Linked DNA regions of Notamacropus eugenii. The protein of the gene in region 1 purifies or fractionates together with the protein of each later gene. This does not show direct contact. Links are inferred from orthologs where the notes say so. Each region holds a gene or a part of one and is shown on either strand. Other genes may lie near its edges.

Evidence for each region.
Region 2: the proteins of PHB1 (region 1) and VDAC2 purify together in Homo sapiens (affinity purification with mass spectrometry; 4 studies listed by BioGRID, with this or other methods). This does not show direct contact. The link is inferred for Notamacropus eugenii from reciprocal best matches to the Homo sapiens genes PHB1 and VDAC2.

The regions. Positions count from the first base shown.
Region 1 is NC_092873.1:351,427,554-351,431,298, reverse strand, and holds the start of PHB1 (prohibitin 1), read right to left. Parts: upstream 2,239-3,745; 5' UTR 2,106-2,238; exon of another isoform or gene 2,061-2,105; intron 246-2,060; 5' UTR 207-245; coding exon 119-206; intron 1-118.
Region 2 is NC_092872.1:235,182,355-235,186,099, forward strand, and holds the start of VDAC2 (non-selective voltage-gated ion channel VDAC2), read right to left. Parts: upstream 2,520-3,745; 5' UTR 2,173-2,519; intron 1,947-2,172; 5' UTR 1,923-1,946; coding exon 1,889-1,922; intron 1,255-1,888; exon of another isoform or gene 1,115-1,254; intron 614-1,114; coding exon 545-613; intron 1-544. UniProt on the Homo sapiens protein: Non-selective voltage-gated ion channel that mediates the transport of anions and cations through the mitochondrion outer membrane and plasma membrane.

The sequences.
Region 1 (3,745 bases):
TACACAGCATGGGAAAGGTGGTCTTATTAAACAACCACTTTCATAGATAGTGATTACTACCAGGAGTGTTACATTGGACAACAGGAACCCTTAGTATGAGTCGGGAGACTGCCCTCACCATTATATAAAGCAGAGTTGACAACTCCTCCTACAACAGCTAAGCCCAGGCCAAACTTGCCAACAGCTTCAAACAGCTTAGCAGCCATGTCTCCTTCAGATGGTCTTGGTCTTCTGCTCTCTCAGACCTAAAGGGAGAAAACAAAAGGCTAGCCTGGCCCATACATTCCCTAGTGAAAACTCATTCCCAACCACTGAATTCATCTTCTAATCAGGGTAAGATTTCTATCTTCTTGAAGGTTCTGCTCATCCTTAGCTAAACAGGTTAACACCCTAGAAAGCCTTAAAAATTCCATGAATTATGGTTCCTCTGCTTTCATGTTCAGTTACAAACACTTGATGACAGGGGTAGGGGCTGAGATTGGTTTGGGAAAGGTAGTTCACTAGGAAGGGCATCGTACACCTACGGTCAGTCATGGGGCTGGTCTTCAACACCATTTAACTTCACACTGTTAAAGTTCCTTCCTCCTTGACAAATCAAAAACAGATTCTAGTGGTCACAGTGGGGATGGGGTGAGAGTATGGGGAATTCATCAAAAACCATTCCAGTATTTTAAAAAGAGAAGATCAATGTGCAATGCCATGCTGACTGTAGGGCTATCAACACCATTTTCCTCTATGGAGAATGTCATGTTATTAGAGAAAGGAAAGACTGGACAGAAAAGTCCTCTGGATGGATGCCAGCATGACAGTGGAGCATGGGGGGAAAAGTGAGAAGTAGGAATAGATTCTTGGAAAGCTAGGAAAGTTTCTCAGAGATCAAAAGAAATTAACTAGACCTCAGAAACCAGAAATCTCACTTAACTGTAGAGATCATCTCATTTTTTTCCTCCCCTCAATACTATATAACTCCCTCCCTTCCATGGGTTAAGAGCACACATTTTCTAACTATAGGGCACAAGGATAAGACAGGACCTATAACTCCAGTGTAATAAGCAACGGTTCTTTTTAATATAATGGACCCTTTTGGAAATCTGGTAAAGCCCATGGGTCAAAATGTTCATTGCCTACATTCATAATAAAAGAAAATGATAAAATTTCAGTTTGAGATTAATGAAAATAAAGATGTAAATTTTTTTTCTTATTCAAGCTCACAGACCCTGTGTAAAATTACCCTTGGATGGCAAGTTCAAGAATGCCTGGTATAGTGTAAGGAAACTTCCAGCAATGCAGGTTGGCACCTTCTCTGCAACTTGCCTAGAGCACTGGGAAATTAGGTGACTGGTCCAGGGACACAAGCCAGCATGTATCAGAGAAAGAATTTAAAGATGATCGTCCTGGCTTTGAAACCTTTCTATCCACTCTGAATCGGTACATCTAAAAACACCTCGAAGACAAAAGTAACTTCAATTCCTCATTTACAGATAAGTTAACTGAGAACCAAAGGATTCAAGCTATGCCTGATTCAGAATTCAAGTCTTTTTCACTAACACTAGGTTACCAACCTTCAAATTCTAGTTGCCTCCTAGGAGTCCCCTTCCACTCCCATGTCTCTACCATTTCCTTTTTCCCATCTTCCCCATTATCACACTAAGCTTGGCCTCCCCCCTCCATTCTTGCTCTTTCCCTCTCAGCCTCCCCCTCCATTCTTTCCCTCCCTCAGCTTCCCCCCTCCATTCTTGCTCTCTCCCTCTCCCCTCCAATCTTTCCCTCTCTCAGCCTCCTCCCTCCATTTTTTCTCTTTCCCTCCCCCTCCATTCTTGCTCTTTCCCTCTCTCAGTCTGCCCGCTCCATTCCTCCCCGCCCCCAGCCTCCTCCTCTACTCTTTCCCTCCCTCAGACTCTTCACACTTCCTCTCATTCTGGCTCTCAGCTCCTCTACTCTCCTCTCCTTCCTCAACTACCTCCTCTTTTCCTCGAGCCCCCTCCCCTCAATATCCCACGGGAACGCGCGAGAGTGGGGCACGACAACACAGTTATCAAAGGCCCAAACCCTTAGCTCACCAGACACAACTCTGACCTCCACATGAATTCCCCAACCCTACTTACTGCGCCTGCGTCGGGTCTCGCCTTCCCTTCACCGCCCCCTCCTGAAGGACCTTTCCTCCTGTTGGCTAATAGGAAAGTGGCGCCTTCTGGGATTGGTGGTTCAAGACTGGTCCTGAGCCCCTATTCTTCTAATGAGAGGGAACTACAACTCCCGGTATGCCTCGCTGCTTTTAAGCTGGTGAAGAAAATCCTTTTCTATTGGACGGTTGAAGTTGGCCCCAAAGGCTGCTGGGGTTGTAGTTCACCTGGAATGACTACACGTGCCGCCGGAAGCGTCTACTGCGTCCTTGCCTTAGGGGAAGGTAACCTCTGGGCTGTTTCGGACTCGTTTTGGTTGTGTCCAACCTTTCGTGACACCATTTGGGATTTTTTAGGCAAAGGTATTGGAGTGGTTTGCCATTTCTTTCTCCAGCTCATTTTACAGAGAAGGAAACTGAGGCAAACCGAGTTGAATGACTTGCCCAGGGTCACACAGCTAGTAAGTGTTTGAGGCTGGATGTAAACTCAGGAAGATGACTCAGGCCCAGTACTGTACCACGCCACCTAGCGGCCCCTCATGCTGTCCACCTTGCTTGGGTAGTGGGGGTCAAATGCTTCTGCGAACCTTAAGTCCGAAGCAGTGGAGTTGTAGTATTCTTTGGCCATGCGCATAAAGAGTTTCAAAGGCATTCCTGGGTGGGCCTGAGGACCTTCCTGCGCTTTACCGTCTCGTGTATGTGCAGAAGCATGGAGTGTGAGCTGAGGGAGGAAGTCTGTAAGATAAGTTAAGATAGACCAGTGAGTAAAACACGTTGTTACGGCAAGATAAAGGCCAGGTCAGTTACGGGCCAGCTGGCTATCTGGGCGCAAAAGAGGGAAAGCGGGTCCCACGTTGGGAGCCGCAGGCTGCGCCAGGAGCTTGCCACCAGGAGGGCTCAGCGCTGAAGACTGCAGTTCTAGCAAGGCTCCAGAGCAGGGGAGGATCTGGTGGTGTGCTGGATGTATTTCCCCAAAGGCCAGATGGCTGGTCTCCTCCTGGAAGAGAAGGTGAAGGCACTCTGAGGATGCTTCTTCTCTCTGGAGTCTATCAGGGAGGATAAAGTGTTTAAAACAAATGGAAAAAGTCGACCACTCAGAAGACCTTCAATGTGAAAGCACAGAAGAAAGATCTAAATAGTTAGGAGGGAATTCTGACCTATGTCAGGAGGTGGAAGAAGAAAAAAATGGTAACATAGAGAAAAAGGGAAGAAGAAGGACCCCTGAACGGTCTTGAGACTCTTCCTGGAGGGCAGGGAGCTGCGAGCCATTTCTAGGAAGGATATTGTGAAGGAGGTCGGTTGAGGGAGCCTTTGGTGAGGGTCCGAGGAAGAAGAGATGAGTAGTGCTGGTGGGTGCCCCTCCACTGAGGGGACTCACTGAGGGGCTGTTTATGAAACTGGTAATGACAACAGAAGTTTGTCATTTTCCTGGGGCATAGACTTGAGACAGGATGTGTCAAACCAGGTAATTACTACCCACTTTTGATGACCCTAGTGGGTGCCAATAATAACAAAAACAATTGTAGCAGCTGCCATTTATATGGTGCTTACTACGTGTCAGGTACTATGCTAGCGCTCTAAAATTATTATTTCATTTGATCTTCACAACAGCCCTAGGAGGTA
Region 2 (3,745 bases), on another chromosome or scaffold:
TATTTGAAGTATTAAAGGACGCTAACATTTCTATGACAAGACTGTTTCTCTACAGCATTGGCAAAACGTGCTTTCTTTAGTTTTCCACATATACAGAAAACCATTTAACTCAACTTTAACCTTGGGGTAGGTTATAGTTTATTACACTACAGACATGCATTCTAAACAGAGTTTTGCCTAATTTTAGAGTGTCTCTAATTGACCAGAGGAGTTACGAATTTTCAAAGAAAAATTTACTTTAGTGTAGGTTATCAACTTCCCTAAAGTTAAAGAGTAATAAGATTTCACAACTCTAAAAAGTCTGATCTACAAAATCAGACCTGACCTAAAAGAGAAGGAAAAAAATTTTTAGCATAGAGCTCAATATGGTTTATTTAGGAAGTTGTAGCAGGAAGACTATTATTAATGTATACTTCATAATAGAAATCCGAAAATAGGGTAATTTGTTCAAATTCTGAAGATCATGAAATATTTACATTGTTCCCTTAAAAAAGGGGTTAGTATATAGGGATTCATCCCTTTATATCTTAAATTAAGTTCTTACCAAATCCTTTGTTGAAAATATCTCTTGCAGCTTTGCCAAGGTCAGCATATGAAGGAGGAATACACATTGCTGGTAAAAAAAGAAAAAAAAACACATACTATTAATTCTTTTCCTTCTTCCACCCAATTCCTGTACAAAGAATATACAGGAGCAGTAAACCTACAATAATGGTTAACTCTCTACTGGCTCTTGAAAATATAAGCATTAGTATACTCCACTGAAATTTAGTTTTTCCGACTTTTCCCCCCTAAATTAGGATTTAAAATCCTAATTCGATTGAATGCTGGGGCTGCTCATCGTTCTCAAACCATACCTTATTTCAGAATAAAAGGGTTGAAGGTAACTACCAAAAAATGTTTAAAATTCCCCAGAAGTTATTATGGATGTGCAAGCTCCTAAATTTAGTAAATATTTATTGTATTTTTCTGCCAGAAAAACTTTCAGGTTATTCTATCTGCAAACGGCTATTTGTGCATTGTTACACAGTAAGTAAAAGGACCACAAAACTGCACGGTTCCAACAAAATGAACAAGAGCAAATCTTAATGGGAGGCTGATCCAACTCCCTTACCTGGCTTAGGTCAAAACTAGGTTGAGGGAAGCAGGGAAATGGATGGAAGGTAGAAAAGACAGACCAGGACGACTCAAGGGATTCTCATTACTTTCAGAAAAGACCAGCTCAGTTTCACATTGACGAGTTCCTGCGGATAACTAAATATGGCAGGAGAGCTAACACTACAGCAGAAAATCTAAGCATTCGAGACCTGCCCCTGCACCCACCCACCCACCCATCCATCCATTCATTCCAAGAGGCAGGTCCACGCCCTTCCTCAGACTTTGAATGACCTTGTGCTCTCACAGGGGGGACTTTCCACTCCCTACAGAAAAATTTCTCGCGTCTTACTGGTCTACCCAACTCTTCGCTATTTCATGCACATTTAACTGAAAAAACCCCACCCCACCCGTCTTCCCTGTTAGTCTCCCGAGGTCCCCTAAGAAGCATAGCACGGTACGTGACAAAGCAAAGAGCCTTAGTCAGCCCCAGCTCCATGTGCACCCCCACCCCGGCCCTTCCACAGGCTCCATGGGGGGCCGGCGGGGGACCGCTTCCGGGTTCATCTACGCCCCCTGCACCCCTTGGGGGCCCCCAGCGAGCGGTAACGTCCGAAGATGCACAGAGCACTTCCGTAGGATTAGCCACAGTCAGGGAAGACGGCCGACCCGGAGCCCCTAACTCGCCTGCTCCAAAGCGCTTCCAGGGGTGCAGAGCGCGTCTGGCCATGCCCTCGCCCGGACTCTGGGAGAAGACCCCCAACCCCCGGGGCCCGGGCCCAGCCCCACTTACACGGACGCTCACAATCCTGCAGGTACGACGACATGGCGATGCCGAGCGGAGGATTGACCTGCGGGGAAGGACGAGAGAAGCGGCGTCGGAGCAGGCCGGGAGGCAGCTCGGGGCGGGGCGGGGCAGGGCGGGGCCGAGGTCGCGGGGGCGCCTCAGGCCGCTCCCGCCCCCCCGACCGGTGCGGCCATCTTGGGGAGTACGGCCCGGGCCGGCGCGGCCCGCGGACGCCTTAGGCTGCGGGCCTGCGGGCCGGCCCGGGCGGGCTTGGGGCGGGGCGGCCATACCTGGAAGTCGGGTTAGGGTCGCCGGCGTTCCGCTAGCTGCTTGGGCCGATGGCCGCGCTCGCGTCCGGGGGTAGCTGCCGCTGCTGGAGGGCGAAGTGAAGGAGACACCACCGTTCCGCCCGCCAGGACCCCGCCGCGGCCCCCTGCGGCTGCCCGCCGCGCCGGCCCCCAACCGCGGCCGCCCTGCGACCGTTCCGACCACCGGGAGACCTCCCTCCCGGCCCGAGAACCCGCCGCTCCTGCTCGGGGAGGGCCGCGTCTGCCTCGGTTTCTCGGATACCCGGAGAGCGCGGAGACGGCGATCAGGCAGCGGCGAGGGCAGCCCCAATGCAGAGGGGGCGGGGAACGGCGGGGGCCGCGGCGCGAGGAGCGGGGCGGGGCCGGAGCGCGCCTAGGGGGAGGGCGGGGCCGGGGCCTTTACGAGCCCCCGAGGCCCGCCTCCCCTTCCGCCCGCTCCCCGCCCCCACACCCCCCCCTCGCCGCCTGGTAGTCTATCTGCACGTAGGGCAGGTCTCCCCTGGCGAGCGCTCGTGGTGGGGCGGGGCTCCCCAACCCTTCCGCCTCCCCGGGAGCCCCGCCACTCTCCCTGCAATCACGTGGTGGGGAGAGCGTGTCCTCCGTCCTAGAGAGCCGGGTTCGAATCCAGCGTCTGGGGCCTGTGTGATCCTCGTTCTTTCGTCTGACTGGAGCGCTATTTACGTAATACTTTTTATTCTAGCTTTCAACGGAACCCCAATAACAGTCCTAATAAGCATGGCTGGCATGGCCCTAGCGCTCTCCGCGTGGGCGCAGCGCGCCTGTTATCTCACAGGATCCCCTCCACCGCCCGGGGAAGTGGGTGCTTCCTTCAGGCCCATTTTGCGGATGAAGAGATGGAGGCCCAGAAAGTCCTCGTGACTTCCGGGGGGGCGGTTGTCGCCCTGAATTGGCGTCAGCTCTCCAGATTTAGAATGGAGGCGGGCGGGTCCCTGGGTTCTGTTTACTTTACACTCCTGGGCCTGTTTCCTCAGCCTCACCTGAAGTGGACTGGGCTTTCACCGGCTGGCACAACCTCCCCCGAGGCCCAGGACCCACCCAGGCGGGCCCGCACCTAGTAACTTTGTGACCACTACCACTGTTAATCACTGCGCGGGCCGCCGAAGGGAAAGGGCGTCCAGCTTATCTTTAAATGTCCGGGGTGGGACCTCCCCCCCAGGTTCTGTGCCTGCTCCACCCTGAGACCCTCCCACGGCAGCCTCTCCCTGAACGGGAACTCGGGTTGATTCTTTAGGGTACCTGCCTTGGGGGCGCCCCAGAGCTCCCGATGCCTCCTTTGCCCTCCTGCCCTGCTTAACCAAGGATAGGAATAACAGCTTACTTTTAAACTGGGCCATAAGGTTTGCAAAGCATTTTACATACTTTATCCCAGTTGAGCCTCTCAACTCATTTTACAGATGTGGAAACTGAGGCTGAATGACTCGCCTTAGGGTCACCTAGCTAATAGGTGTCTGAAACCCGGCTCTAATTAGGTCTCCAACTGCCTTGCCAAGGCTCCTGTACCTCTATATCTAGCTGCTCTGGCCTGAGAGTCCAG